Linked DNA regions of Struthio camelus. The protein of the gene in region 1 interacts with the protein of each later gene in a biochemical or structural test. Links are inferred from orthologs where the notes say so. Each region holds a gene or a part of one and is shown in the gene's direction. Other genes may lie near its edges. The genes, in order: MIS18BP1, MIS18A and OIP5.

Region 1 (10,280 bases):
GTTAGATAAGGGGTGCAGAAATGCAATGTTATCAGTATGAATAAAGACCGGAAAATGCGGAAAACAGGTTTTTTTGCGTGACAGGTTGTCTGCTAATGCATGCTCATCGGGTTCTGGCTTTCTGTGCTTCCTGGTGCCATGGAGAACAATCATGCTATACAAGGAAATACCTGACCAATTGGGCCACTTAACCCAAAATTTCTCAGCAAGACATACTTCAGTAATTCCAACAATAAATATGGTTCTCCCAGCACCACTGCAACATTCATGAAAACACACACCAAGAAATAGCACTGGCATACCAGAAATGTATGAGTTGCTACCCGTTACATGGGCGTGAATGAACATGTAGCCACATTTTAGTTACCCAAGACCACACCATTCCTGCAGCTTTGCCCTTTGCAGCTGACTTTAGCAGATCTCAGAAGTATTTCGGATTTTTAATAATCAGGCTCTTAGAAAACTGAATATTCCTTGTAAGAATCTGCCCATGAAAATACTGCTTTAGGACACGTGCTGAGTTCTGTCAAAAGCAGATGGGAGGCAGCACATAGTTCTCCCAGGAAACATGGGCCTGCCTAAGCAGAAGATCATTTTTGTCTTCTAGAACTATTAGTTCACTGAATACCTTCCAACTTTCCGGAAATAGAAATAAGCTGAGGCAAAGATCCTACAGCTTACAGCCTTACTGTAGCTCCGATTTGTTGAATGCACTGAGATCACCCTAGGAAGGGAGCAGGAAAATAAAACATAGGCTAGAGATGCAATATCATCACCCAGTAATATGCAGCAGAAATCAAACAAATTAATGGTTTAACCATGTTTAATGAAGATCATTCTGTATTTTCTAGATCTTAAAGTCGGTAATAAACCATCCTTTATATCCATATATGTATAGAAACATAATGGTATGAATATTTAGTTCTGTACCCCAAACAAAGGAAGCTGTAGTTTTTTCAGCTGCACAAGTAACTGATTTAAGATAACAAAAATCTGAAGAATAAACTCTATGATAAAAAGTATAGAAAACTAAGACAACAATTAGTTTTCTCCCAGAAATGCTAGTATGCCTTTCATTTAAGAAATAAACAAACAAAAAAAGTAAAGTGCTGTTAGGGTGATGCTATTAAGTTACATAACAGTTAGTTAGGCAGATGTGTAGATATGATCATTCTAATTACCAAGCTATCAGAAAAAATAGCTCCAGAAAGGAAAGTAACAATAAAAGACTAAGCTTCTTTGTAAAGTTTCACAATAACTATAGGAATCAGAATGGAAACTCTGAGGGCCAGAAGGCGTTTCTTTAATTATCAACAGTAATCTATCTTGGCTAAATAGGATACAGTAATGGAAATTTAATTTTGAACAAGCTCCCTCACTTTGCCCTGTTTCTCCCATTGGAGCCTTCTTTTTGGAGCGCAGAGCATTTGGCATTCTCTCATAGGTGTTGCAGAGAACAACAGAATCTGTGCTGTCTCCTTGGTCTTTCATGTGTTAGGTATCTCTCCAGGACAAAAACATTATACAAAAGAGTGACTGTCAGACTGAAATAAGACTGAACTTCTCAGAGGACTCCAGACACTTATTCTTACACCCCTATACTTATCACTATATGGCAACACAGAATTGCTTCACTGACCACAAGATCTGTTTACTATCTATTTAGAAGGACCCCATATAAAAGAGAAACCCATTTTGGGAAAAGAAAAAGAAAAAAAAAAAAAGAAAAAGAAGTCGTCAGAAAGCATGCACATCTAAGCCAAACACCACGCAAACTTTTTCACAGTTTGACCACACAACTACAGATCTGGCACCAAGATTACTGGACTTTACATCCATTCTTAGGATCCAGACTTTTGGCTTGCTTTTTGCAAAGCCAAAATAGCTTTGCCAGCTGTGGCCAAAGAGACCACAGGAGACTAGATAGGAGAAGTACATTTAGGAATTTTTCAGGCATGCACAGCATTTCTTCCCATACAGGTACCTAGGATCTTAGTGGTCTATGGATCAGCTCTAAGGAGTCTATGGTACATAACAGAAGCGAGTCCATTGGTCAAGTACCCTACTCAAACGTGTAAACAGTCTCCTAAGTTCATCAGTTTGGTCTGCATCTCCATGGAAACTAAAAAGAGGCATGAGTATGAAAAAAACTATCTTGGAAATCCCTTTATAATGGCATGATGATCTGCCCTATGATGAATCCTTTTTCCAGAGAGACTTTTAGTGTTATCGGTAAAGTCTGCCCAAAGAGAATCAACTGCAGGGTCAGGACTTGACTTTTCAGGTCTTTTCTTATAACTGCTGAGATTTAATTGGAGTCATTCTAATCAAGAAAATACTTCTGTCTCTTTTTGTGTCCAAAGCACAAAGACCTGGTAAGGCTATCAAAGTAGCTTTCACTTTAGAAATGTGGCCTTGAGCTAAAGAACTTCTTACTTCCAGATGTATCCTGCTCCATGCAAGAGTCAGCTCTCCTGTGCACACAGCTGCTATTCCAATTATAGGCACCACCTGAAGTCACTCAAGCCAAATAAAATCAGCAAACTAATTCACTCTTTAGCTTAACAGCTTTCTGCAGTTAGTCTGGATTATTCTTTCTTCTCTATATAATCAACCAGTTCTCTCCTTTTTCTTTTCTATACAATCAGCCAATTCTCTCCTTTATAGAATTAAAAAAAAACCACACAGAAAATAAGCTTAAAAAGTATTCAAGATATGTTATTTAGGCAGCTCCAGTAGAGTTTGTTAGTATCTACAAAAGGTGACTTGCTTTACCCTATTAACTACATTTATAATATGTAGGAGCATCTAGAGATTTCTAAACTAACTGCCCAAATCTTACAAACTTATCTTTTACTAAGAAGAAACTACCATTTGACTTCCTGTGGATCCTACTGTTTTTTCTGAAAGGAAGAAAAAGTATGATGACTTCTGCTAACAACCAAATAAAAGCAAATTTCCTCTGCTTTTGATTACTTTTAGGGAAAAGCTCATCTGGTAAGTATTTAAGGAACTCTAGCAGCAATAAAATATTCTTAAGGATAAGGACTAAGCTGTAAGTCATGCAGGTTTTTTGCCTTTTAAGAGGAGCCAAATCAATACAGTGCAATATGCAATACAAACCATTGGAAGATGGTATCACCACAGTGTTTTAAATAGATTGTTCTATGCATTTACCAGTGTTACATTTGGTTAGACCAAGCCAGCTGTATGGACAGTCAATCACATACAGATCACAAGCAGACATGTAAAAACATAAAATGGAAGCATATCTTTTTTTTTTTTTAAAAAAAAAAACTATTCCTGCTTCAACTTTTTCAAGTCCTTCTTTCATCTTCCCCATTGCTTTCTCTAATCTTCCCTCCCATTCACCACTACCAGCTTAATTACTTCACCGGGAGATCCTGGCTCCGCAGATGATCACAGAATGAACAGTACAGGGCGTCAAGGCTCCCTGGACTGCAGAATCCAGAAGAGCTAGCTTAGACTGTAAAGGTGCCTTCTGCAACAAAATACCTCCTTCTTCTAAAACTCTTGCACTGTGCCTCTCATTTTTAATGTCTTCATGCCACTATGTACTAGGCAGTACTTGCCCAGTTCACTGGCTCACAGATTCCTATCTCTGTAGTAAACACAGTGTGTCTTCATTAACGGGATAACTCAGATACTAAGAACTACTCATCAAGAGACTTCAAGGCCAAACAGCCTATTCTTGCAAAACAAGCTTCTTGCTATTTCCTGTGTAAGTGATGACCCCACTCCCCAGACACCCACTTTTGATTCTTAGCACTGACAACTCTGTATCTGGATATTTATTTTTCCTCTGCACATAAATTCTTAGAAATTTAGGGTAGAAGCAAGCACAGAATCTTTGTCCGTGATATAATCTGGGACATTAATTAGTGTACATATTTCTGTAAGAAGCCCACAAAATTTAATTACAAAAAAAAATTTAAGTTGCAAAATTCCAAACAGAACACAAAATATCCAGCACAAATAGAAAGCGGGTTTTTTTTTTAAATGTAGCTACTATGTGCTAACAGGCATTTGATCAGTTATAGTGAACATCGAGGTACCCAAAACTGAACTTCCAAGTCCAGCTGTTTAGGCTAATCTAAATGACAGAAACACCCGATTTTACAAGCTATTCACTGTGCTCCCTCATTAGCTAGGTGAGCCCAGCCTGATGAGTAAAAGTGCTAATCTCTGTTCCACGCATTACACAAATAACTTCCCTCCTTTCCCACTTTAAGTATGAAAATCGACCACTTAACCTCTTAGCCAAGACACAGACAATAGCTTGTCTAACTTTCAGAGCTGTAAGAAACTGCATATCCTGCTTAAGCTAAGGGTTATATACTGGTCTTATCACTGTCTTTGAAAATCTAAAGGCAGTTACAGCTCAGTGTCACTTTTCAAGCTAGCACCTAGAAGTAGATAAAACTCTTAAAACTGCTAACATCTGATATTCAACTCATTTTATTCCTTTTTCCTATTTTTAGTTTACCTACAGGTGAGAGCAAGGAACACAACAGCATGCTGCCTCTGCCTAGACAGACCTCCTGGGCTACGCTCTGCCTTCCTCCCCTCTGCTCGGTCCTCACGACTGCCGGTTAGTTTTGGGAACCATTGGGGCACCCTCTCTCCATTCCGCCGTCCCATTCCAAGCGGCCTGGGCTGACCTGTGAAGTGGCCGCAGATTTGCCACCTTCTCCTCACTGGCTCGCTCAGGTAATGCTGATTGCTACGGCAGGAATCACTTATTTCCTTGATGTACACAGTTTGCTCTTTAGCAACCCGGCCGAAAGGCCGCGCAAGTATCTTCGGGGCAGCAGCGGTACCGCCGGCCGCGGTATCCCCCGCCCGGGCCGTTTCCCCGCCGCCCTCCCCTCAGCGCCAACGGCTCCTCCACCGGCGCCGCGCGCCCTCCCCTCAGCGCCAACGGCTCCTCCTCCGGCGCCGCGCGCCCTCCCCTCAGCGCCAACGGCTCCTCCACTGCCGCGCGCCCTCCCCTCAGGGCTGGGGGCGGGCCGACCCACCCCGTACGGAGAAGCGGGGGAGGAAGGGGGGGGAACATGAGGGAATACGGCACTGCCCCACCCCACAATATGCTCTCTGCAACTTCCGGCGGCCAACACCGCCCCCCCCAACTGCCTATGTTCCCGCCTTCCCCGCTCGCGTCACTGTGACGCTACCCGCCCTGGCCGCCAATCCGCGCGAGCCGGCCGCGCTCAAATCTTCTAACAACTGTGTGGCGGGCTCGGCAGCGGCGCGCGGGGCTGAGGCGAGCGGGGCGCGCGCGGGGGGGGGGGCGGGAGGCGAGGGGGCAGCGCGCGGCTGAGGCGGCGGCGGCGGCGGCGCGCGGGGCTTGAGGCGGCGGCGGCGGGTCCCCCGCGGCAGCGGCGATGATCGTTACGCCCAGCAGAAGCGCCGCGGGCGGCCCGGCCACCGCCTGCCGCCGGGGCGTCATGCCCTTCCAGTCGGCGTTCCTCAGCAGCATCCCCGCGGGCACGCTGACGCCGCTGAAGGACCTGCTGAGGTGCCAGGCCCCGCTGGCGGCGGCCGCCGCCGAGCCCGAGGGCCGCGCCGGGTGGCCGGCGGCCGACGGCGTCTTCCAGTCCACGCTGCTGGCGGGCGGCGGCGGCGCGGACCTGCTGGAGCTCAGCGAGATCTGGGGCGGCCCCGAGCCCGAGGCGGGGCTGCCGCCGCCGCTGGCCTGCGCCGAGCCGCCGCGGGCCCCGGCGCTGCTGAAGCGGCGGGCGGGCGAGCCGCCGGCCCACGAGTCGCCCGCCAAGGTCTTCCAGCGCATGAAGGCCAGGGCGTCGCGGCCGCCGCGGGACGCCGCGCTCCCGCTCGGCAGCGGCCGCCCCGACTTCATCCTGAGCCCTGCCCAAAACCCCGCCGGGCAGGGGCGGAGGGAGGCGAAACCGGCGGCGGCAGAGGGGCGGCAGAGAGCCGGGCAGGTGCCCGCGGGACGCATCCCGCCGGAGAGAGGTTTGTGCCGCCGTACCCCCCCAGAAACCCTTTACTTACTGTCACATGAACAACACCCGCCTCATCTTTAGTATCCGTTTAGGTGCGAGTTGCACTGCGCGTTCATCGCGGCCCTTTTCCAGCGTGTGTTCATAGATGGGAAATTCTTGGTGGCAAAACTCCCCCTCCCCCCGATCTGTCCAGAATTGGAAAAAAAAAAAAAAACATGTTTGGATGGTGTTTTTTTCTGTGCTAAAGCATATTTGTATCATACTTTGATTCCCCCCGCCCTTTACCTTAGAGGAATGTCTCCCGTGGTATTTTTCTCCTTTTCTTACTCAGTCTGGCTTTTAATTTTTCTTGCTGTGTGTGGGGATGGGATTGACACTTAGCAGCAGTTGGTAAAGCAGAGAATTACGCTTTGTAAGTAAAGCAAGAGATGACTCTCATTGCTTCCTGCAGCCAGTGTAGAAAGGGGAGAGGTTGGCAGGAGCGTTGTCTTGTTTTTGAGACCCTAGGGAAATCCGCTTGCCTCCCTGTTCCAACAGCTTTTTCAATGTATTTTCCAATTCTGACTACTCGATGTAACACGAGCTTGCAAGCACTGCGCCCCTTCCCAAGGAAGGTACGCTAGCTGCTGTAGGCCAGCAGGAAGGTCTTCCTTTTGTCTCACAACAGAGCTGTAAAGGTATTAGAGGTATTTTGCAGAGGGAAGGTGTCTTGTGGTGGTGCCCAGCTGTTCCCGTACTGTAATCATCCAGAATGGGAGACCCGTGGAAATATTGAGTATTTCATCACAAAGGTTATGCTTCCTTGCTGCATATATTCCTGTGATGCTGCAGCATTGGGAATGGAACATTTAGTCTTATTTTAGTTTAAAAAAAAAAAAAAGCCTATACTTCTAACACCTGCTGTGTATCGTATGATGCAGAAATAGTCATGAACTATTTGGATGGGAGGCTTTTTTTTGAAGTGCAGTACTTAGGTCTCAACCCCCTGACCCAAACCTGGATAAAAGTTTTCTACAGGAGGTTCCTATCTGGTTTGTCAGTGTTTGTTTTAAAGCGTAATTGCAGAAAAGTAAGCTGAGTGGTCCGTCTGCTTTATCTGGCCAGTAGCAGTGTCTGCTGCAAGTTAGCTGTTCTCACTGGGGGTGCATCTGGTCTGTTCTCGAAAGAACATGCTATTAGGGAGATTTTATTTCCCTACTTTTATGATTAGATTTTAAAAAGTCTTCCTAAATCTCCTTGCTGCAACTTAAACCCCTTGTTACTTTTACTATCCTTATTGGATATGATAAAAACGAGATTAAGCTGCTGTTTTCACAGTAAGCAAAAGTCTTAGGTGTTACACCTTAATACAAAGAAATATCCCTTTTGTATATACTTTCCGACTCCTCTGGGTTAGGTTACAACCATGGCATGTGTACATACATGGGATTTTGAGGGTGTGTTTTTTCATGTGCAGCAGCTGATGCAACATGATGGCTAGTTTGCTGTGAAAAGGGAAAGGTCTTATTGCTCATCCTTCTCAGGACAGATATTTCCTGAACAAATAGTTAGTATACTGGAGTTTAGTATCTTATGAAATATGTATTTTGCTTTTTTTCTTCCCTTGCATGAAAATAAATATTTTTCTTCACAAATTCAGAGGGTTTTTTTTTTTTCCAGAATTACCTTGCACCCGGATTCCTCAAAACAGAACTGCTAAATTGTTAGCAGTAGACCCTTTTGTACTGGAATCTCCCCATAAGTTCTTCTTGCGCGTGAAACAGAAATTGCAGCAGCAGAAAGGTAGTTGATGTTGCTCTTAATAACATTTCCAAAACTTCCTTGAGTTGAGGGTTTCCGTTTTGTAATAGCTTGTGTGCTTTGTCAGAGTATCATTCTTCCTCTTCCACTGTAGTCTGTGCACAGCTGAAAACAGCGAGAGACCTGCAAGTCTGTCTTGGGACCTGGAGATGACATTAGACGTTTAAACTTTGGATTAGGACTATTGGCTGCTGACCCTGAAGCAATTAGTCCTTCTGAGTACACTATGTCCCCTGACTGTCTTTTAACTCTGGGCTCCTGGTGTTGTGATTAAGAGCTCTTTAGAGACTAAATGTAACATTTTAGTATTTGGATGGGAATTAGGTGGAAAAATACTAAACCTCTTATTACTGGTTCTTTTTATCCCCTAGCTTTTAATACATAAAGTGAAAAGATTTAGTTCCATGAGAAGTTCCTTTGTATTTCTTTGTTTGTTTGTTTTCCCCTTGATGATAACCTTGTGAACACTTCTGTCCTCCTATAATTCTGCCCGTAATAGGCAAATGAAGAGAAAAAGATCCATGCCAAAATCTTAGTGGTGTTCCACTTTAAAAACTGAACTTTAATTAGCTGAACGCTCAAAAAACGGTGCTTGTAGCTCCCAGTATAGCAGCAACGTGATTAGAAGTCAAATATTGACATCTGGGAAAAAGGAAATATTCTAGACTTAGGGTTTTTTTTTGTGAAAACATTCTGCTTTTTGCTCTTCGGGGAAGATTCATTTTAAAAAAGAGTAGGAAGAACGGCAAAGCTTTAGTATTAATAGGAGTGGTGTGCATTAGCATAGTTTTTGGGGAAAGGGGAATGGTTAAAACAGTCTTCGGTAGCAGGAATATGGCACTCGTGATGGGGAAAAGCTAGTTCAAACAAATCCAGAGAAATGGCTTTCTGTTAACAGTTGAAATAGGCAGTGTTTTTGGAGTTGTTATAGTATGTTAATCAATAGCAATTTACTCATATTAAAGTGGAATTAAATTGTATAAGTATATTTTTACTGTTCTTCCGGTATCTTTAATTGCTCTGTGTTTTTTGGGGTTGGTTTGTTTTTTATGTGCAGATCCAACGTTTTCAAACTCAGTCAAGGAAAATGTTCCTCCTTCCGCAGCTGCAGAAAAGCCATTAGTCAAATCTGCTTTTACTGAGCAGCTCAACAATGCTAATACAGAGTATGTGGCCGCTAATAAGGATAATCAGGATAATTTCCTCATGGAATCAATTGATGCTGATGATGAAATGTCTCAAAATACAATGACTAATACTGTGAATGGAAATTCCCCCCCTTCTGAAAGTGAGGATCAGTTAGAAGAAAGGTGTGGACATGGAGAAACAAAATGTACTAACGTTCATCAAGAAAGAAGACAGTTGCGGACAAGTAATCAACAAGCTGCTCGTGGAGGAGAAAAGCTACTGGAGACTAATTCTCAAAAACCCTCACAATGCTTATGTAGTATTATGCTCTCTTCTCCTAAAGTCCACATACCAAGGAAGCAAAAACAAAAAGAAGGCTCTAAGGTCCCTTTGGATACATCTCATACAGATACAATGGCTGGCAAGGGAAACAAAGAGGTGGGAGAACTTACTATTCTAGGGGCATTAGATATGCTAAAACTTCCTGTAGGCTGCTTGTAGCTCACAGCAGTGGTTTTTGGTTTTGCTTTGGTTTAGACTTGCTAGAAGTCTTGGACAATGACTTTGTCTTCTAAAAGTCAACATTAAATTACTCGGAGCATTTTTATAATTTAAATTCGTGACTTCGCTTGCACGTTAGCTTCTGGTTTCATTATGCTTCTCCATAAGTGTGTTTAATAGTTATTTTTAATTTCTCTGGTCTGGAGGGTTGTGCCTGGAAACTTTTTCAAGATACGCAAGAATTTTTAATTTCTATTTTGATAATGTCATGGCGGTAGCTTAATCTAATTTTTAAAAAATGATATGTCTTTAATTTTTTTATCACAGAAAAAAATCTGCCTAACGAGTTGGAGAATTAAAGTGATCAGCGGTAACACTGCAGTATGTGTTGAAGGAAAACGGAAGTAAGAGAAAATTATTTGAGGTTTAAATGCAATGTAAAACATGTTGGTTGTCTTTTTCAGAATCTGAACTATAGAAGCTATAAAGTTTAGCATCTTCATCTCATTGAATATCTGTGGTTTTGAGACTTGTGTTTATTGGAATATCATGGTACCTATTAGAAATCATTCTACAAGACCATAGGATTATATAAGTTAGGGTTGTCACAGTTCTGCTGCTTTCTTCTCCTAGCCCCAGGGAACATGGCCATTTGTTCACCTCCTAGCCCTTGTGTCAGCACTGACAGCTCTTACAATTTTATTATTTTTTTGAAGCTAAGCTGTCTATCTGCTGACTTGGCAAGCTGAACTGATTCGCTTCAGGGTCTGCAGACTGGCAGACCTGGTGCAAGGGGGGATGAGAAACTGAACAGCTGGAGGTTGAGGAGTGTGGTTGAGGGGGAAGGAACCGTGGTAGTCGTAATTT
Region 2 (11,128 bases), on another chromosome or scaffold:
CAAGGGGAGTTTGAATTCTTGAGGGGAGTTTGAACTCTTGAGGGATTAAACAGAAACTTCCTGGCTGTTTTTACAGTCTTACAATTAACAATTTTTTAAAGTGAGATAATGTATTTTAACAATCTATTTAAAAAAAACTTTTCTATTGCTGAACTTGTGTGTGTGTGTGTGTGTGTGTGTGTGTGTGTGTGTGTGTGTGTGTGTGTGTGTGTGTGTGTGTGTGTGTGTGTGTGTGTGTGTTTAAATAGCCTATGAGTTCATGGGCTGATTTCACTTTTTATTATTTTTACACAAAATGGATGGAGCTGCTCAATGCTATTAATAGAAAGCAAGCAACATGACTTTATAGCTGGAATTAGATTCATTTTCATGATAAGAACACAGTCTTACAATGTTTCAGGGACAGGCCACATAACAGAAAGTGCAGAGATTCAGGACAAAAAAAATCAGGCAAAATTGAATTAAGGAGCCATATAAGGGGTTCTGATGAATGTATGATTTATTTGGGCCAAGTCAGCAATACCCCTAAACAAAAGCTGAAACCCCTTTGCACTCAGTCTGGCAGAGGCCCTCTGGAACTTCAATTCAGCAGTTGTTTTAGCCCTGGAGATATCAAACATTTTGCCAAACTTGGAATGTTTGTGGCTATCTAAGCCTCTGTCTAAGGGGAAATTATCACAGTTCATCTTCAGCACACAGGGCAAGGACTTGCTGAAAATACTTTGTTTACATAGTTCCAAGCACAAGAAGACAGTAACAGTGGCTTGTGAAAGTGTAAAAATATAAATTTTATATAAATACAGGAAAATCTACAAAGTAAATTCTTTACCTGACTAGTCTTTGTATTTAAAGCAAGTAAGCAAACTAACCAACTATGGAATCAATTCTCTTAGTGTTTTCTTTATAACTTGAAATCACTGTTCCCCATTGGCATTTGGAGAAGGAAGAAAAAATGTACTAAGATGGCACAGCCTCCATTCCTCCTAGACTGCTGACATGGAAAAATGTCTATTTTTATATGAAGCAAAAAAAAAAAAAAACAGTTTCACTTCCCTAATTATCAGAAAACCAAGCCCAACATTTTTAGCTGAGCATTTAATATAGCCAATGTGGGTTTTTTAAAAGACATAAATCATGGAGCAAAACTCTATTTTAACAAGCTGCCTAGAAATATGTTACACAAACTGCAGCCCCAGGGGACACAGATTGCCTTAACAGTACCCTGCTGAGGAGGGGGGGAAAAAAATCTTGAACCCTATTCTTGCATCTTTATTGTTGTTCTTTGCTCGGGAGATGAGCAGCTGAAGCACAGAAGTCTGGTTTCCTGCAGATTTGTTTCCCAAATCTGAGCCCAAAGGTGGTTTCCTTGGTGTCTAACAGGGGATGTGCTCACCCTGCAGCCTTTTTGTCAGTAAAGGTCTTTGCCAGCAATGTTCTTCCTCCTCTATCTAACCACCTGCTGCACAGAACTTGTGGATGTTTTACATCTTTGAGGCTCCCACTCCTTTGTTAGCAGATAAACAAGCTAAAGTTGTTGGAGGAGCAGATTAGATGCATAAACACAAAGTATGATCACATAAGTAACCTCTTTAGAAAATAAAAAGGTCTGAAAGAAGGTAGACTTCTCTCCTTCTTTAGGGGAAGAAGAGAAAGCAAATACAGAAAAAAATCAACAAGAGACTGGTATATTCTACTTTCTTAGGGAAATAAGGCTTATGACATCACTGTGTGTGCATGCACTATGTACATGTGGGAATTTCCTCCATGGAACTATTAGTAAATATCAATTAAATTTAACAGAGAGGGAACATTTTCTCACAGAAATATGATTTCTAACAGTTTCAAGAAAACAGGCAGCTGGGTAGACAGAAATATCCTATAAATGGCCACGGAGGGAAATGCTTTAACACAAACTCCACCCCTATTAGATATCAGGGAATCCAAATGTAAGAAAGATTCTATTACTGGGAAAAAAAGTGAAAGGTCAGATTCCCGAGCCCTCTTTGTGAGAAGCCAACAGCATGCAGCTAGCTTAACTCAGCAGTTCAGAGTTCCCCTGGTGGAATTAGGGGGCAACTATCTGCCCTGCCATCTTTAAAATTAAGACAATTAGGGAAGTGGTGTAAAGCTGCTCAAAACTTGCCTGTTCCCAACAGCACCAGATGTTGCTCTATTCAGCATTCAAGAGCAGATTTTACACATGGACAGGGGTGGATATTTATACCACCTTCTCTAAGGCATCTTACTGTAGGTTCCTAAGTTTGGAGGCAACATATCATAGAATCACAGAATCACAGAATGGTTGAGGTTGGAAGGGACCTCTGGAGATCATCTAGTCCAACCCCCTGCTCAAGTAGGGTCACCTACAGCACATTACCCAGGATTGTGTCCAGACGGCTTTTGAATATGTCCAGGGAAGGAGACTGCACAACTGCACCAGTGCTCTGTTCCCTCACAGAGCGAACTTCCCATGGTTCAGTTTGTGCCCGTTGCCTCTCGTCCTGTCGCTGGGCACCACGGAGAAGAGTCTGGCCCCATCCTCTTGACACTCCCCCTTCAGACACTTGTACACGTTGATGAGGTCACCTCTCAGTCTTCTCTTCTCCAGGCTGAAGAGGCCCAGCTCTCTCAGCCTTTCCTCAGAGGAGAGACGCTCCAGTCCCCTAAATATTTTTGTAGCCCTCCGCTGGACTCTCTCCAGTAGCGCCATGTCTCTCTTGTACTGGGGAGCCCAGAACTGGACACAGTACTCCAGGTGAGGCCTCACCAGGGCTGAGTAGAGGCAGAGGATCACCTCCCTCCACCTGCTGGCAGCACTCTTCCTCATGCACCCCAGGATACCATTGGCTTTCTTGGCCACAGGGGCACATGGCTGGCTCATGCTTAACTTGTTGTCCGCCAGGGCTCCCAGGTGCTTCTCCACAGAGCTGCTCTCCAGCAGGTCAGCCCCCAATCAGTCCTGGTGCCTGGGGTTATTCCTCCCCAGGTGCAGGACCCTGCACTTGCCTTTGTTGAATTTCAGGAGGTTCCTCTCCGCCCACCTCTCCCAGCCTGCCCAGGTCCCTCTGAATGGCAGCACAGCCTTCTGGTGTGTCAGCCACTCCTCCCAGTTTAGTATCATCAGCAAACCTGCTGAGGAGGCCCTCTGTCCCTTCATCCAGGTCACTGATGAATACACTGAACAAGACTGGACCCAGGACTGACCCCTAGCTACAGGCCTCCAACTAGACTCTGCACCACTGACCACAACCCTCTGAGCTCTGCCACCCAGCCAGTTCTCAGTCCACCTCACTGTCCACTCATCCAGCTCTCACTTCCTGAGCTTGCCTACGAGGATGTGATGCGAGACAGTGTCAAAAGCCTTGCTGAAGTCCAGGGAGACAACATCCACTGCTCTCCCCTCATCTACCCAGCCAGTCATCCCATCGCAGAAGGCTATACGGTTGGTCAAGCATGATTTCCCTTTGGTGAATCCATGCTGACTACTCCTGATCACCTTCTTGTCCTTCATGTGCTTGGAAATGGTCTCCCGGATGAGCTGCTCCATCACCTTTCCAGGGATGGAGGTGAGGCTGACTGGCCTTTAGCTCCTTGGCTCCTCCTTCTTGTCCTTTTTGAAGGCTGGAGTGACATTGGCTTTCTTCCAGTCCTCAGTCACCTCTCCTGATTGCCATGACCTTTCAAAGATGATGGAGAGTGGCCTAGCAATGACATCCGCTAGCTCCCTCAGCACTCAGGGGTGCATCCCATCGGGGCCCATGGATTTGTGGATGTCAAGCTTGCCTAAATGATCTCTAACCTGATCCTCCTCAACCAAGGAGAGTCTTCCCTTCTCCAGACTTCTCTCTTGTCCCCAGGGTCTGGAATTCCTGAGGAATGGCCTCAGCAGTAAAGACTGAAGCAAAGGCGGCATTCAATAACTCTGCCTTCTCTATATCCTTTGTTATCAGGGCACCCGCCCCATTCAGCAGCGGGCCCACATTTTCCCTAGTCTTCCTTTTGCTATTGATGTATTTGAAGAACCCCTTCTTGTTGTCCTTGACACCCCTTGCCAGATGTGTCCCTTGCCACATATCCTTTCAGTGGAAACAGAGCTTTTCCACAGGCAACGTGAAATAAGTGTTTCCGCTGACGATACAGCAAGGTCAAAGACACCAAGCTACCAGCACAGGCACCTAAGCTAGATGCCCCAAGTGGATGGTATGAACGGTCGTTCCTGTACTGTCCGGTTCAGTCTTCACTGTCAACAAGGCAGTTTCTGGCACTGTTAATTACAAAGACATGACAATGTTCTGGCAGAGTATCCTGTACTCCTTACAGACTAGATCACTGTAATGACCTTGTTCAAAGCTATTTTGGTCCGTGAAACCACACCTGGGTAATCAGAGTCTTTGGTAAACTACATAGCAACCAGCAATGTCCATAGCTGTTTGATGGATACCATAGATAGAGACTTGGCAGAAATGGGAGGGAGATACTGCCTATAGCCTGAGTGACTCAGATATGCCTGCCCGCTCTCCCTAGATCATTGTAACTCTGTCCAATTATATTGGGTTACATTAATCCCTCATGACATGAATTGTCATTTTATCTTATCAAAATCAAACCAATGCAATTACAAGAGGAAAGAAATCGACCTTCCCTGTTAAGTAACCAAAAAAGACATCACTATGTCCTTGTGTAAAACCAAGCATGCAACAGAATTAACAGTCCGATACTTTGTTAATATGACTGGATTCGGTGAATGTTATTTCATATCCATTGAAAATAAACTTTTAAAACCCGCAGAGTCTGTTTCCATGATCATAATGTATGTGGACAATAATGTGTATTATTACATTGTCTTACAGTTCAGGAGTACTAAATCATAGCTTTTCTCATACATTATTTTTGGTTTAGTACAAAAATCAATAGGATTGCTTAGAGATGGATGCCAAATAAAAGCTCAAAGGGAAAAAAGTAATAGAATATGTTTTCAGTTTGCTGTTCCTGGCTGGTGAAAGCATAAACTTATTCTCTTATCAAGGCTCTAACGGTGTTTAAATCAGTTCTAGCATAAGCTTTATGTTCCAAGAGGAAAACACTATAGTCTTATGAACAAATCTGTTCATTCCGTCATCTTTTCTGATGGTAGCATGCAGATAAAGAACACCCCAAAATACTGATTTGCATGTCATTAGATCTCTACTTAGCAAATGGTCAAAAAAAAAAAAATCCGTCCTCTAAATCAGAGTTAATGTCAGCAGTCTTACAGTTTGAAATACCGTAAAATAAATCAAATAGCTTCAGTATAAGTAGAAATTGCTATCAGTACGTAAGTTAAGATAGTTTGGAACACAGACACTCATCCATTCAAACCACGTACAAATAAGCTAGCATGGTATCTATTACAAGGAAAAAAGTAAGTCAGAGAGACTATGCAATATTTTGCCAACTCATTTTTCCTGTAGTAGATCAGCATCTACCACTCTACAATACTTACATTTATTAACCTTCAACTTCCTTCCATCTACTGGAATTGGATCTATATAATCCCAATAATATTCATAAGACCAAAAATACTCCGATGAGTTTGTTCTGTTAGCCATTTCAGTAGTGCATTTTAAATCAGCTCAGAACTCCAACCAAATACTTTGCTTCATTGTACTTCAGCGCCCTCAGAAAGAGATTGCATAACTGATGCCTATGTAAATCACTCTGGAGTCCTGCAGCTCAAGGACTGCCTTGATAATAAAAAACATTTAGCAGAAAGGAACATTAATGTAGGACAGATATGTAACAGCAGCCTTTAAATACAATCCTCTCTTCCTGGCGGGCAATTATGTTATTCCTCAGAATATTTTAACTGAGATGGATATAAAGTAAACTAAGAATGGCATGGACACAGGCCAACTGCGTTCCAACCATGGGAGAAACTAGCAACAAGGAAACATATTCTGGACCCACTGAAAATAGCTGAGCTGAAAGAAATTTCTGAATTTCCGCTGACCTAAAAAGCAGGTAAGAACTGGTAAAATACTTCTGATATAAAGAATGTATTGAAATAACCATATATTTTGCTTTGGCACTTTTTTATTCCCCTCCCCCACCCAAAAGCAATGGATGGAGAAATAGTCTCCCAGTCAAGACAAAGGTAGTCGAACTGCCCTGTGCATTCGGCCCACGGCACTGTCAGTGTCTACGCAAACACACACGTATACTTGCTTCATCAAAGTTAGCAAAATTTCTCACTTTAAAAGAGAAACAGATCCTCAGTGAACTTTTACCTGCATTCCTAAAAGCTACAGGGTAAGTCAGGGCTAGGCAAGTCAGGGCTGCTCACCCAGGCCCAGTCCCTGGATTGGCGGGCGGCACGGAGGCACATCGGGCCTCTCGGCACCCCTCTACAGTGGGGAGCACACTGGGGCATCACTTGAACCGCGAGCAACAAAATGCGGCAGACTGGACAAAACCAGCGGCCTTCCAAACCCGCAGCAAGCCTTTTTGCTTCGCCTCCCCGTCACTAGAGCATTCAGGCCCCTCCCAACGTGCCTCTCGACGTATCTTGAGGCCGAGGACAGCAGGCCTGGCTAGCTGAGGGCAGCAGCAACGGCGACGACCGCCCGCCAGCCGCCCGCCGCGACCGTTAGCGGCGCCAACGGCCGCAACAGGGCGGCGGTGGGGGTGGGGGCTGCCTGAGCGCGCCCAGGGGGAGAGGGCGGGGCCGCGCATGCGGGGCGCCGTGTGGGCGGGGTTCACGCGCGGGCGGGGCGGGAGCCGGGGAGGGTGGGGGGCGGGGGCGGGGGCGGGGCGGCCGCCTCGGCTCTTGGGGCGGCGTCACTGCCGCTTCCGGCGCGGGCCGCTTGAAGGCGATGGCGGGCGCGCTGTACGCGCCGCCGGGCGCCGCGGCGGGGCCCGACTCCTCCCTGTCGCTGCTGGAGGCGGACGGCGCGCGGGAGGCGGCGGCCGAGGCGGGGCCGGGCGGCCGCGGGGCGGACGAGGACCTGCTGCCCATGGTGTTCCTGTGCGCCGGCTGCAAGCGGCCGGTGGGCGACACGCTGAGCTGGGTGACCAACGACGAGGAGGCGGGCTGCATCCTGCTGCGCAGTGAGTCCTGCCCTGCCCCCTCCCTCCCCCCCCCCCCCCCCCCCCGCCGCGCGCGCGAGGCGGCGGCCGTTGGGGGCGGCCGTTGGTGACCGCTGGTCCCTCTTCCCTCCCCACCTGCGCGCAGATGCGTCTGCCAGCGTCTCGGTGGACAAGGAGCAGAAGCTCTCCAAGCGGCCCGGCGAGTGCGGATGGTGAGGCCCGGTGTCGCGGCGGGGGTGGGCGGCTCGGGGCGGGGGAAGGTGCCGAGGAGGGGCCCGGTGAGCGGCTCGTCGGGTGCTGCCACCCCGCCGTCCCTGAGGAAGGCCGGGGGGCCTTGGCCTAGAGCAGCTCCTCCAGGTGGCCTGTCTAAAGTTTACCTCTTAGTCTTGCTGAGGTCATCGGGCTGAGGGTCTGCTTTGGGAACCTTGGCTGGAAGATAAATGTTCGTAGTTACAGTGTGGCATTTGAGAGTGAATCCTCTGAAGATCACAAGCAGGTGAATTGTTTTTGAATAGGTGTGGGGAAAGCCCCCTCCCCTTTGAATAAATGCTGTATGTTTTCCTTACAGCATGGTTGAAACTTTGTCCTGCTCTGGCTGCTCAATGATACTTGGCAATGTCTACAGGTGCACACCAAAGCATCTTGACTACAAGAGAGACTTGTTCTGCTTCAGTGTTGACTCCATTGAAAGGTAAAGGTAGCATTTTTAGGGATGCCTCTAGGTATCATTTATATGGATTGCTGCTGTTAGTTTTACTGGAATATCTAGAGGTAGTTATCTCTTTCCAGGGTAATTTTTTGTGTTACTGCTGCCAGCATTGTACTGTTGAAGTCATAGAAATGTCATCTGTGTAATACTAGAAAAAAACATTAGAAAAATAGAAATACCAGGGTCTTCTCTTGTATAAGAAACTGCATACCAAGCACAGAAGTAACACTAGGTAAGCAATATGGGCGTTACTTCTAGTCTGATCAAAAGAGTATGTAGATGCTCTACTCCAGCTGGCATAAAACTACCTTATTCTCTCAAATAGTACTGAATAGGCCTAACTTAAAGCTACTAGAAGTAAGTATTATCAGAAGAAAAGATAGGCACAGGGCCTGAAGTAGAATTTAACCTGTCTAGGTGTGAAAAAAGGTGAAAGTGAATCCTGACACTCATTGTGTAATTGAGGTTCTTAGTATCTGTTCTGCAGTTCTCTTACGGTGCACAAACTTTTTTATACTCGATTGTCTAGAAACTGAAGATGTGCCGTTGTATTGGTTTTATTTGGTTTATTGCACTTGAAGCAGGTCTTAATTCAGGATGAAGTTAGTGAATACTTTAAGTCTACGTACCGGGGTGCTTCTATTGCTCTTACTTTGTTAATGTTTGGATAATTCACCTTTATTTCTCCCTGGGACTAAGTTTAGCATTTCTGCTTTTTATTAAGTTCCAGTGTATTTTGTTGCATCTGTATTGATGTTCTCTTCCCTCTTTCAGGCAATGGTGGGTTTTTGCTTTGCCTCTTCCATGGCAGTAAAGCTCTCTGAAAGATTGTACCATGGTCCCAAAATGTCTTTTTGGGGCGTGGGAGGGTAGGCAATAATGGTGATGACTGGTTGTTCCGGCTAGTACAACAGTCTCCTCAATGTTGGAATAACTCTTCACCTTACGCTGTAGCATCAGAACTCATGATTGTCTTTTGGAGTTCCAACTGTTATACAGTGATGGTATCTTAGTAGTTCTGAGCTTAAAATTGCTTTAATTCCATTTTATAGTTTGTTTGCAAGATTCTAAGTATGGATTTTGTTGCTGAATCATGCTCTTGCTTTGGTAACTTATTAATCATAGTCTTGTAATCACTGAGAACAATGAATGAGTTATGTTTGTTTTTGCATTCAGAGCAGAAAGTGCATGATCTAAACTGTAGCATATCAGTTACGTTCTAGGATCCTCGGAAAAGCAAGCTCTTACTGATGAGGAGCCTGTAACTCTTGAGAGTCGAGCTGTTTTGGAAGAAGCACTAGAAAGGGTAAGGTTTAATCTTACATCGCTTGTTGTGTACCTCAGATGAATCTTCATATCCTTAGTTTCTACAAAACAAGCTATAGTCTCAATTGGACCCAATTCTGTGCATTTTTACTGTACTCTGTGACACTCATGCTGTTAGTATTTTGTGTTAGGTAAGACTTTGATTATAATTTTAAGAAGCATTTCTATTTGTCAAATACAGCTATAGATTCCTATCTCTGTCAGAAGTCTGAACCATTGCTTGCCTCTTGTAGCTTTGTTTTGCTTCTCCAGTTTTTTTTTTAAAGACTGATTTAATCAAATTTTTTCTGTAGAATCCTATCCTTCATGTAAACGGATTCACTGCTTTTGCTGCTGTTCTGTATTGAAGTATTGCATAATAAATATGAGTGGATACTTTCCTCTAGAAGTCTCCTGACTGTGGATAGGGAGAGCTGAGAGCACATACGATAACCAGATTAGCCCTGAAAGCTGCCATTTGTATAGCAGAAGCTGAATGTGTGGAATTCTTGCTTCAAAGTGAGAGGACAGCTATAGCAGACTCTAGAGAGTGCTGAGAGGTCATATTAGAATTGACTGAACTTTTAGACTGTGCAGATAGTGGGAAAAGAATCCAATAGGATTGATAACACATGATTGACTTCTAGCATACATGTCAGAAAGTGCTTGCTCTTTGTTTTGTGAAGTACCAAGTATCTTTCCTTATTTACTTTATAGGCAGACACCATACTAAAGGCACTGGAGGCGAGGCTGACTGTAGTTGAATCAAGTTTTGCTTCTCTTCATAATAATGTCTGAAAAACTTCTGCATCTAAATTAACTGCTGGAGAATGATGTAATGAATCTTGCACCTGTAATCCTCTGGAATCTACAGGAACATTGTGAAAGCCGTGCAAAGAGCTAAGACTCAGGTGGCTCATACTGCAATAGAGCAAGCCTGACTGAAAGTCTTCACCATAGGCAAGAAGTTGCTCTCCTCTGATAAGAGTACCCCAGAAAGGGAAATAGGGGGTTTTGTCTCTTTTTTTTTTAAACTGCTTTGTGAAGACTTTCTGTTTATATGTAAATATTTAAACTTTTATGTGAAAGCAAAATATTTCTCTCCTGGTTTCCTAGCTATCCACTGTTCACTGAACTGGGTTTGCTTATCTTCCCTAAGGCAATAAAAACCTGTGACTTTTGTTGAAGAAGCAACGTAAGTCTCTTCTGCCATCTTATCTTCACAGCCTTTTCTTCCTGGACAAGAACAACACAACTGCTTTCTGCCAGCTCAAAGCTAAAATGTATAATTGTAAAGAAGATTATATGCATAACAGAGCTTCAAGAGGAGGAAAATAAACAAGACTGATAGCTGTACACCTTTAAGCAAAGCTTGGTGTATGTTTAAATGATGAACTGAAAACATAAATTAAGAACACTTGTCAAAATTTTGTTTCAGTGTAGATATCTCTATTTGATTTGGATCTACTAAATCTGTATTTGTCTAACTATCAGGATTTCCTAAATGTATATGTTGCAAGTGATTTTTTTCAATAAAACAAGGAAAACAATAGTCTAAGGTGAGAATCATTTTGAAAAGGGTTTTTTCTATTACTCAACATGATTTAATTTTACTCTTGCGTTCTTAAGTTTTGTCCTAAAACCTGTAATGTGTTTTCCCTTGTTCTTCAGCCACTGATAAACAGCCCCCCAAAAAAGTATCTATCTTCTTTTCCCTATCTACTGTTTTGGTTTGAAGTAGCATTTGTTTTGGCCTCTGATGATAAGTTTATCTTTGTCCAAACTAAAACATTTTGCTGATTGCTTATAAGAATTCCTTTGAAAGATTGGTGCATACCTTTCAAATCAAACTAGAAGCTGTCTTCTGGAGGTGGCTTGGTTTTTTCCTGAATGCTGCTATGTGATACAGACTTAATCCTGGATGCCTGAATGCAAGATGTGCTAACTCTGTTCTGCCCTTTAATTGAAGATTGGCTGGTGCTTTCATTTCATAAGAACTTGAAGTGTGTTCTTGTTGGGAGTGTTAACAGTTGAGGGCTTGATAGGCCT
Region 3 (10,277 bases), about 42 Mb from region 1:
ATTTATGAAGTGTAAGCTGAACAAGTAGGAATCACAGCATGTCTTCCTGCTCTTTTTTGTTTTGACCATTGTGAATACAGGTATTATATCCAGAACACATCAAAACATGTGACAAACCACTTTTAAACTAGGCACAAAAGTCATTTACTACCATAAATATACAAAAAACTATTGGAAAATAAAATTCTCAATGCAACTTTCTGGAGGTTTGGTTGTTTTAAAGAGAGGGTATTTTCTTTTTTCAAATTAAGTGAAAAGAGAAGTTTGATCCATAAAAATTGTGGGGCAAGTCTCTCTTCAGACACAAACAATACATCTATTTATAGAGATGGTAGGTATCTTACTCGGTGTGGTAGCTTTTGTTCCCGTTTTCCCAGACTTAGATGCACGGCCTACATATAAAGGGATCTTCCCTCCTGCGGGATGAGCTAGAAGAGCATCACCTAGGGCAGAGAGGTTAGGCAAGGTGGTTAGGACTACTGGACATTAATTTAGCGTAATTAAAGCCCGTTTTGAAAAGCTACTTGAAACGCAAGAAGCATGCGTTCTAAAGTATATCTCCTCTCCTCAAAGTATCTCTTTCCTTTGAGAAATAAAAGGTCAACTAGAATGAATTTGTCCTCAGTCTTTTGAAAGTCTTTTAAATGGTGTATGTCAATAATGACATGTCTTGGTGAACTACAAGCTTAACGTGAATCTGCAGTTCAAGCTAGGTTATTTTATTTTGAATTATTACTTCTCTTATTTCACATAAATTTATACAAATTAGCAAGAAAACTGCTTGTCACAACTTTAAATGCAGAGAAGATCTTTAACTGCTTAATAAGCTAGCAATTTTTAAATTTTGATACCTGACAGAACAAACACTTTTTAGCAAACTTTTCAGCTGCTGCCTTAAATATACACAGAGTAGAGTTCTTTTTATCATTTCTGCCCTCAGGTCAGCTTCTGTTTAATCTTGTCTCTACCTATGTTTTTAAGTATAGTATTAAATTTATTTTCTTATTTAGTACTTAATTGTATTTCATTTTAAAAAGTCAACTACAGACTTCAGATTGAGTTCAGTAAGTAGGAAAAGAAAGATGAAGTGCGAGGAAGAAAGTTCTCCATTTCTTGCCTCGTTCCAAAGGGGCTGAGTAGCGTATCAGTGGTATTCCTAAAGGCACTGATCCTAAACAAGGTGCAAGACTCAAATACGCTCAGATCTTTGAGAACTCCTTCACTAAAACCAATCAACAACAGGACCGCAGTTCTCAAGTCAAATCCAGCAGAACGGCTATACTGCTGACTGTGTGAACTTGCTTTACAATACGATAAGCAAACAAGTACATAAGCCTAAATTACACAGATTCTGTTCAAGTATCCTTACTCAAGTACTGTTGGTCCATCAGATCACCAGACATTCCACAAAAATCTTTGTGGACACAATCAAATGCACTTTTTGATTATTTTAATTAGTACGAATGACTAAACTTACTCTGTTGGAAGTTTTTACTTACATTCCACTCCACTTCTCTTAGTGGAAATCTTCTCTGGTTGCTCTTTCTGCCCCATACCCATCGCTGGATTCTCTATAGCTCTCTTTTTAGTTACTGATTTATCGTTTTGGAATACTTTCTGTCCCTTTTCATGCTGTGGCACTTTGTTTTCTTTCATTTCTGAATGCTCCTGTGGTTTAAACATACTTCGGTTAGGCAGATTTTTTCAACTGGACATAAGGAAAACATTTTCCACAGGACAGACAAGAGATTTTCTGAAATCCAACCTGAATTATAAAGCACTTTAATATTAAATTGATTTTGTTGGCAAAACATAAATTCACTGACCATGTCACTTTTTACTACTGTAGCTGTGGTTACTGTAGGCTTTTGCTTACTCAGACATTTTGAGAAATTTTCACCTAAAAAATGATTTCTCTTATTCTCATTCTTCCACCTTTACACCAGTAAAAGTCTTTCATAAAGTTCTGTCTTAGTTCTCCCTCTACTTGCATGTGATTTTAGAGGGGAGAAGAAAAAAGTTTTATCCCCACCTCACCTTGAAAACCTCCTCTCCCTCAGTCATACAACCAATACATATTAAAAAGAAAAAAGGGGGGGGGGGGGGGGGAGAGAGGAGAAAACAACCAGCCGAACACACCAAGACACTCGCCCCACATACTTTGAAATTGAGAGGAATGGGAAACCTCCAGCCCACCAGAGCAATTAATCTGCCTTGTAGTTAGTCTGTCTCTATGTATAGTTCTTCAGAAAATAATCTAAGAGTTACCTTTTAATAGAAAAAGGAATTCATATGAAAAGGCAATCACAGAGTTTCTGTGAATTTTTACTATACAGGAAAGTGAAAACAGCCTGATTTTAGATAAGTTTCAAAACTTGCCTAACAATCTCGTGAATACTATGATGAACCAATGAAAATAGTCTTATATTCTGATAAAATAATTTGAATGATACAGTCTTTATTTGATCTTTTTCTTCAATAATATTCCCTCCCCCCCAAAAAAATGTACAAAAAGAACAAATTATATGTTCATTTTGGAGTAGTGTATAGTCAAATTGGACAAAAACAGAGCTATAAAGCACAGAAGACCAATAACACTAGTAGGTCTGCATACCAAAAAGTGAATGTTACCTGTTAAACACTGGTAAAATGAATCAACTCCGTTTAACTTATGCTTCACTACATGTGTTTAGCGGAGGGAGGACGGGGCAGACACTCAAACCCAAGAAACGTAAATCACCTCTTTCTCAGCAGAATGCCCTGTATTGTCTTCACTGCTGTTAGTTTCCTCATTGGAATTGTTTTTTTTTCTGGTTGCTTTCTTTTCTTTTCCACGCCTTTTTGTGATAAAACACACTGGATCAGGCATAAGTTCCTCCTGACTGTTCTGTTCATCCAATTCGATGGAAGCAGATGCACTTTCTTCAGAGTCCTATATCAGATAAGTATCATCATATGAAACATATCTGACATATACTACAAAGAGACAGCCTCAGCGTTATTATCGGAAAAGGCGTGGTCTTTAGTAGCACAGCAATGAATGAGTGATATCTAGGTTTCCTTAAATAGCAAGCTGATTATTGGAAGACTGAGACAGAAAACCTACAGTTGTTTCATTATATGCACAATATTCTACAAAGACATTTAAAAAAACCTAATAGTTTATATTGGAAATTTGACTTGCATGATGCTGTGATCTGCCAAGTTTTTACATTCCTATGGAATAACCTTAAAAAAAAAAAGAGAGAGATACAACAACAGCATTCTTCCACACTTATCATACCAGACTGTAATCAGATGTTGGAAAAATATGTAATATATTCAAGTTGTTACTCATGCGTCGAAGCTTGATAAAATTAAAAATAAACTGACAAGGATTACACAAGCTCTCCATATTTTAAAAGAAGCAGATTATAAAGGAAGCATTTAAAATATATGGTGTGTTTTAAATAGATTCTAATTTACTTTTGTCAAAAAATGTATAAACATTCCATACTCAATGAAATACTTACAAAAGGGAAAGCTTTAGGAAAAAAAAAAAAAAATCAAGAAAATAACATATTAAGAGATGATTAAAGGAAAGGTTCTCTTCTCTTATAACATCAGTAAGTAAACTGTAGTAAATGGAGAATGCTTTGAGATGAATACCCAGTCCCTCCCTCATCTAGGCATTTTTATATTTAGTATTGACTAGCACTTGGAGCTAAAGAGGCAAAAATTAAGATTTGGTCAATGGAAATTGAAGTGTTAGCGTTCACAGGGGATAATTTTGTGCTTACACTGAAAAAATACACTGCTGTTTTTGGCATGAGGGGGTGGGGGGAAAAAATAAAAAAAATCAGCCTTCAGTCATACACACAACCACTTTAAAGCTAATATCAACACATCTATTTCAATCAGTATGCAAGTATACTGAACACTGTTTAAAAAAAATATATTTTTTGTTACAGTTTGCACCATGTTAAATGCGACATTCACTACATGCCATACTTTACTAGTTACAAAGTTAGATTTATCTTTCTTAAAGAGAATAGCTAATTTCTCATTATTACCATATTTTCATTTTCTTGTTTTGCTCCATGAAAATGTTGCTTCAGTGCTTTCAACAATTTGTCTGCCTGCAGAGAAATCAAAACATATGAACTAAAGATTATATTAAGTCATCAGACACTTGCACAAACCCTATAAGCACCCTAAAAATCAGTCCAAACTAGCAAAGCACTTGCTGAATCCAATAAAATAGAACTCTTAAAGCATGCTTGAAGCCTCATTAAAGTCAGTCAGATTTGAGAACATACTTAAGGCCCAGGCTAAATATGTAGCATACAAAGAGAGATTTCCCCGACCAGATTTCTTCTGGTCTAGCTATTGTCCAGAAAGGTCGATTGTTCTAGGATAAAAGAAACTATTTCAGCAGCCTAACTGAATGCTAATAACATTGCACCCAACTTCTCTAATAACTTTTTCCCATTTCACACAATACTATATGGAAAGCATTCTCCTCATCCCTTCTGTATATTCACATAGAATAATAATAAAAAAAGACACACCATCGATGTTTTAATCTATGAATAAAAGACTTTAACTGGAAAGGTCAGCATAAAATCAGTTCTGAACTAGAAGTTACACACAAAGTAACAGAGAACCAAAACCCCAAGCAGAAGCCTCAGTCCTGTGAGGACAATTAATCCTTGATCCAAATTACCACATAAGTGGTGCATCTGGGGTTTCCCTCTGTCTGTTTTTAAAGGCTGTACGCCTTCTCGCACTGGTGGTGCGGGTCTGACTTCTGCTGAGGGATTTACCAGCGGTACCTGCCAAGATCAGGCCAGGCTGGGTCACTGTCATATACCCGTAGGGCCCTAGGCAAAACAGATGGGCACATGCTTTAACTCCTTGTTCTTAATTCCTATCGGTAAGTAAAAAATAATCACTCTCGACCCTTCAGGCTCCCCGTGGTTACCACTCTTCCCAGCCCCAGTCGGATGAAACGCCCGCGTCGGCGGGTACGGCCGGCGCGGCGGGGGCAGCGCGGGCACGGCGGGGCTCCACGCGCCAGCGCAGCCCGGACGCGGGGCGGTCGGGGGCCCGGGAAGAAGGGAGCCCCGCCTTCTCAGCTTCGTCTACAGTCTCACGCCCCTAACTGAAGGCGGTAAGGAACGCTTAAGCGTCAAACTATCAAACTGCCGGCTCCACGCCCCAGGCCCGAGCCGCGCCTCTGCCGACACCACCTCCAGACCGCAGGTTTTCTCATCGCAGCGGCCGAAAGCAGAACAACGACCGCGGGGCCGCCGGGGGCACTCGACCCCCACGACGCCCGCCCGCCCGCCCACACTCCCGCCGCTCCCGCTCGGCTCCGCCGGGCCCCTCGCTCCCCCCGGCGCCGCCCTAGAGCTCCCGGCCGAGCGCAGGGGCAGCGCCGGAGGCGAGCCGAGCCGAGCCGAGCCGAGCCGAGCCCGCCCGCCAGAGCGGGCAGCCCGGAGCTCCCGCCAGCCCCGCGCCGCGGCGCCGCTCGCTGCATCGCGGCCGGGCAGCCGCCGCGCCGCCTCACCCGGAGGTTGGCCTTCAGGCCGGCGGCCTTCGCTATCCGCTGGAGCTCGATGTACTTCAGCGAGTCCAGCTGCTGCAACGAAGAGAGCGCCATGGCGGCGCGACCACCGCCCGCCGGCAAGCCCCAACCGCCGCCTTTCGAATCTCGCGCTCAACTGACACGGCGCCTTGCCCCGCCCCCGCCGTTCGAACTGGCCCGCCGCGCCCTCCCACTGGCTGATCGGAGCGAAGGGGACGGGCCCGCGGGCAAGGTAACCACCAATAGCGGCCCGGCCACAGGGATCGTGTTTGTTTCAAAGGCGATAGGCGCTCCCGGTAAGGGGAAACCCTGCCCCCGCCTGCCTGATTGCCCAATGGTCTCAGGCGAGGAGGATTGACTTGTCTCTCGCCCAGTGGCAACGCAGAGCTGTGTCCCACGCTCCAATGGGGAGGCCGAGAAGGCGGGTGCCGCTCTCGAACGCAGGGCGGGAGAAGATGGCGGTGAGGCGGCGGCTGCAGGAGCTGTTCCAGGACCCGCAGCTCGGCGGGGTCATCACCGTGGAGCGGCCGCCGCCGCCCCCCCCCGCACCGGCGCGGGTCCAGCCGCCGCCGGCCCAGCCGCCGCCGGCTGCGGGCTCGGCGGAGGCGGCGCGGCGGCGGAGGCTGCGGCCGGAGGAGTGGGCGGTGTTCCAGTGCCGCGGCTGCCGGGCCGTGCTGGGGGACTCGCTGCACCTGTGCGCGCAGGAGGAGCGGCGCCTCGGGCTTCTCGCCTGCTTCAGTCAGTGCTGCCGGGGCCGGGGCTGCGGAGCGAGGGGTGTCCGGGCTGGCGGGACAGGGCCATAAGCTTTTACTAATGCAGGTTTTAATACCGGAGCGGAAACTTCCAGCCCCGCGTTAGAAAGAGGCCCGTTGTGCGCCTCGGCGGGGCTCTGCGTCGCCTGCCGTGCTGGGGGGCGCTGGGGCGACCGGCCGTTGCTCTGGGGTTGTTCACTGGCTCTGCCTTTCTTCGTAGAAGTCACAAATGAGGTTGCTTGGGAAGAGTCGCTAATGATCGGCCTTGAAGGAGCCCTCCTAGGCTGGTAGGTAACGGACGTACCTCTTGCTTTTGACATCAAGTTTTAGTCATCAGATGAAATAGGTGGACCAAAATAGGCCTCCCCAAAGTCAGAGGGAAAGAGTTCCTGCACGTTTTCTAGCTGGGGCACTGAGATGTCTCGTGGAATTGATAAAGTCCTAAGTGATTTTTGGACCTGTACTTCATAACTTTGAACTGAAAATTCTTTTGTATATGTGTAGCTTTAATTCTTATCAAAATCAGAAGAAGTTTTGTCAGCATTTACCCTTGTTAACGGAGAGAGAGGAATGTTTGAGCAATGCAGTAAAAGGTAGCCTATAGCCTTTTACCCTTTTTTTTCCTCCTGCTCCTGCCTTTTAAGCATATATCATCTAAATTAATATATAAATTATATATTTTATTTATATAAAATATAAATTTTATATATACGAGCATATATATAACACATATATAGAAAAGTAATATTATGCACTTTGTTTGCTCTTCTGGTAAAACTAATAACCTGATGTCCTCTGATTAGCAGGCAGTATCTATGGTTTCAGAAGCTTCTGTTTAAACATACTATTTTCCCCTTTCTCCTTTCAGCACTTTCAATGCATTATCCTGTCGTTCATGTGGCTTGATTGTGGGCTTCATTCTGTATTCTACTTTCAGTGATCTGGCTTATCTCCGAGGCTTCTTCTGTTTCTTCAAGGACAGCATCCTCTGGTGAATATGCTGTTTTTTTTAATGGTAAATGACTTCACAGGAGTTTGTAAGTGATTCTGTTTTAATCAGATAGTTAGTTATTAGTATAATTAATCTACAGCTAACAGAAGCTGTTTTACTTTTGAATGCATTGGTGCATGGGTTTTAATATTCTTTCTATTTAAATTGCTCATGTTGGCACAATTCCATTTGATTTGGCTTACATTTTTAAGTATCCTCATGTAATTTCAAGGATTAAATTTAAGTGCTTGCAGTATGAGATCAACTTTACTTCCAGATCCACTTAAGTAACGTATCAAAACGGTTCTGTGCTAGATTGAAGACTTGATTATAGAAACTATAAATTACTTTTAGTTGATGATGAGAGATCTTATGATTTGAAAGTAAAACTATTGTTATGTTTTAAATATTTTCATAATATATTGACTACTTTTGACAGCAGTTATACGATCTCCTTAAAATCATCTTAAATAGTCTGTCTAAACAATTAATACAACCATGTTTTTTAAAACTGTTTTTCTTGTCTTTCCCCTTTCCCTGCTTGTCTTCCAGTTATCTCTTAAAAACTAAAATGATAATAGAAGCCTCTAAGGTAAATTTTCCTGCTTTGAGCCTAAAGGAAGAACTCGGAAAAGTAAGGTTCTACATGACTTTGTATGTAAAATGCAAAAAATGCCAAATTTTTTTTTAGAGATCAGTCCAAAAATATTGTTTTTTTTTTTTTTTGCTTGTTTGTTTTTAAGTGCAGATGATGTAGAAGATATTGGATTGTAATGTAGCTATGATACACGTGCGGAACATACAAAACATTTTCCGTAACAACTTATCTGCAAAACATAAAAAGTTCTAGCTAACTTTCTGACAAGTGTGTTACCCTGTAATGAGTATGTATATTTTTGTGGTACCTGAATGTCATCAAGAGAGAAGAAGGGATTTTTCTGCCTCTTGAAAAGAGAAACCCAGAGAAATCTATACTTCATTTTTATGTGTTTGTCATCTGTTTCCTCACTCCCTTCTTTATGCTCCCTTCAAAGCACATACGCTATCCTGAGTGAAACGTAACATAACAGATGAGTATATTTAGGTGTACCCCTAAGCAAAGATGAAACAGTCTGTCCAGATCTTGTCAAAATAGGTCTCTGGCTTTGTAAAAGTTGTAATGAGTTAACCGGGAAATGTTATGTTGGTCATACTAAGGCTTCAGCAGCTCTGGCTGCTTACTTAAGTGGAAAATTTCCATGCATCCCTGAAAGGGCTTCTGCTGACACACATTCATCTTATATGTGTAACGGAAGCTTCTGATTTGGGTGCTAGTTTTGGCTGTACTAAGCATAGGGTATAGAGATATGTCGTATTAGACACTAGTGATACAACAGAGTCCAGTTTCATTTTCCATCTTGAAAGTCAGCTGCTTTTTAACTACTTAAAGTGGGGTACACATCTTGCAAGGACCTGATGTTAGGACAATGGTATTTTTTTTTATTTATCTTTTTTCTAGCTAAAAGAAAAACTTGTGGTGGTCCACATGCGCCTAGAATTGCTGATGAAGAAGCTAGAGGAATTGAACCAACAGAATAACGTGGCAGAAAAGCAGAGCACTGCATCAGATGCAGCTGGTCTCATGCCAGGATATGCAGTAGTCAAGATGAACAAATAATATGCCTTTTTAAAAGAACTACTGGAGTCGTTTCTACATCTCTGCGGGGTTTGTTCATTATGATGAAACAATGCACAAAAAAAGGTCAGAGACTTAATCTTTTACTTTATGTGCGTATAGAAAGAACTTATGCTAAAGTGCATCTCTTCAATCTAGGGGGACCATCCTGAAGCTATGCTGTGAAAAATTAATAGCTCACCCATGCAGCACAGTACTCTCTGAGGCAGCAGACCCACGGCTGTGGTTCTCCCAACAACTTTAGGGGAAAAAAGCAGCCTTCAGAAAGCTGAACTCAGCTTTTAGGGACTATATGAAACATACTAATAAGGTGATACACAAGAGGAGCCATTATTAATTAAACCTTCTTACAGAGGTCTACAATTTTTTGTCTTACCTTTTCATATAGTTACAATGTTTACGGTAGCTAGTTGTTGATCAAGAGGCTTGTTAGCTGCATCAGGTATGAGAGGCACTGCTAAATGGTGTCCTGATAGTTCTTTTTTACTTAGGTATGTGGCCTGCAAAAGAGGCCAGCTAGCATGTCATAGAAGCTGCACGGCATGCTCAAAGCATGGGAATGGAAGGCACGTTGCTGCTTGGAGCACAAGGTTTTGCATTACAAATTCAAGCACAATTCAAGTGCCTGCCAAGTCCTCTGGAAGAGCAACTCCATGGCTGCACTGAGCTGGGTCAGATTCCGTCTGCTTTGTCAACCTCAGACCGTGGGCAACTGCTTTTAATAGATTTGAGCCCATCTCTGGGGTTGAAGCCATGAAACCAAGGAATGCTCTTTTCTCCTCCCTTCCTTTCTGCTCAGTCATGGGAACACCGCTCTGCTGAAGCTGTGATAGTCCACCTGCTGCCTTCCCTTGGCCAGTCAAGATGTTTCACAAAAAAATAGCCGAAGGGTACTCATCAGCGTTTCTGTTAGTTTTGAATAGGTTCTGCTCCTCTCCAAACATCTAGAAACTCATTTGATGGAGAGGAAAGAATGCTACTTATCCCTTCTTATTGCGACAGAACATCTTAGTCCTTAATTCCCATTAGCTGGAAGATTAAGGGTCCTTTTCTTCTCCCTCCTGCTGCCTAAAAGTTTGATGTTTTAAAGCTTCCATTAAGCTTAATGACTGCCTGTAATACTCTAGAGAGGAATGTATTTACTTGATTGACTTAATTCTGGTGATGTGATTTGCCCTCCTCTACTTCTGTTTCCACATATGAATGGCAGATTGTAGCATGGTCTCAGTTGTTTTGATGTATTTGTAAAATAACTGTTATAATTGACTGGAGGGGATGAAACTCACTGCA

What was found.
Region 2: the proteins of MIS18BP1 (region 1) and MIS18A form a complex in vitro, tested with the Homo sapiens proteins (2 studies listed by BioGRID). The link is inferred for Struthio camelus from reciprocal best matches to the Homo sapiens genes MIS18BP1 and MIS18A.
Region 3: the proteins of MIS18BP1 (region 1) and OIP5 form a complex in vitro, tested with the Homo sapiens proteins (2 studies listed by BioGRID). The link is inferred for Struthio camelus from reciprocal best matches to the Homo sapiens genes MIS18BP1 and OIP5.

Annotation. Positions count from the first base shown.
Region 1 is NC_090946.1:82,888,496-82,898,775, forward strand, and holds the start of MIS18BP1 (mis18-binding protein 1), read left to right. Parts: upstream 1-5,373; 5' UTR 5,374-5,405; coding exon 5,406-5,994; intron 5,995-7,643; coding exon 7,644-7,766; intron 7,767-8,841; coding exon 8,842-9,350; intron 9,351-9,740; coding exon 9,741-9,817; intron 9,818-10,280. UniProt on the Homo sapiens protein: Required for recruitment of CENPA to centromeres and normal chromosome segregation during mitosis.
Region 2 is NC_090942.1:119,786,052-119,797,179, reverse strand, and holds MIS18A (protein Mis18-alpha), read left to right. Parts: upstream 1-6,836; 5' UTR 6,837-6,851; coding exon 6,852-7,086; intron 7,087-7,210; coding exon 7,211-7,277; intron 7,278-7,633; coding exon 7,634-7,756; intron 7,757-8,986; coding exon 8,987-9,080; intron 9,081-9,796; coding exon 9,797-9,877; 3' UTR 9,878-10,631; downstream 10,632-11,128. UniProt on the Homo sapiens protein: Required for recruitment of CENPA to centromeres and normal chromosome segregation during mitosis.
Region 3 is NC_090946.1:41,224,594-41,234,870, reverse strand, and holds the start of OIP5 (protein Mis18-beta), read left to right. Parts: upstream 1-6,009; 5' UTR 6,010-6,024; coding exon 6,025-6,307; intron 6,308-6,541; coding exon 6,542-6,608; intron 6,609-7,189; coding exon 7,190-7,312; intron 7,313-7,864; coding exon 7,865-7,946; intron 7,947-8,810; coding exon 8,811-8,969; 3' UTR 8,970-10,277. Other genes in the region: NUSAP1 (nucleolar and spindle-associated protein 1), read right to left, coding at 345-443, 1,500-1,668, 2,741-2,932, 4,053-4,118, 5,552-5,644. UniProt on the Homo sapiens protein: Required for recruitment of CENPA to centromeres and normal chromosome segregation during mitosis.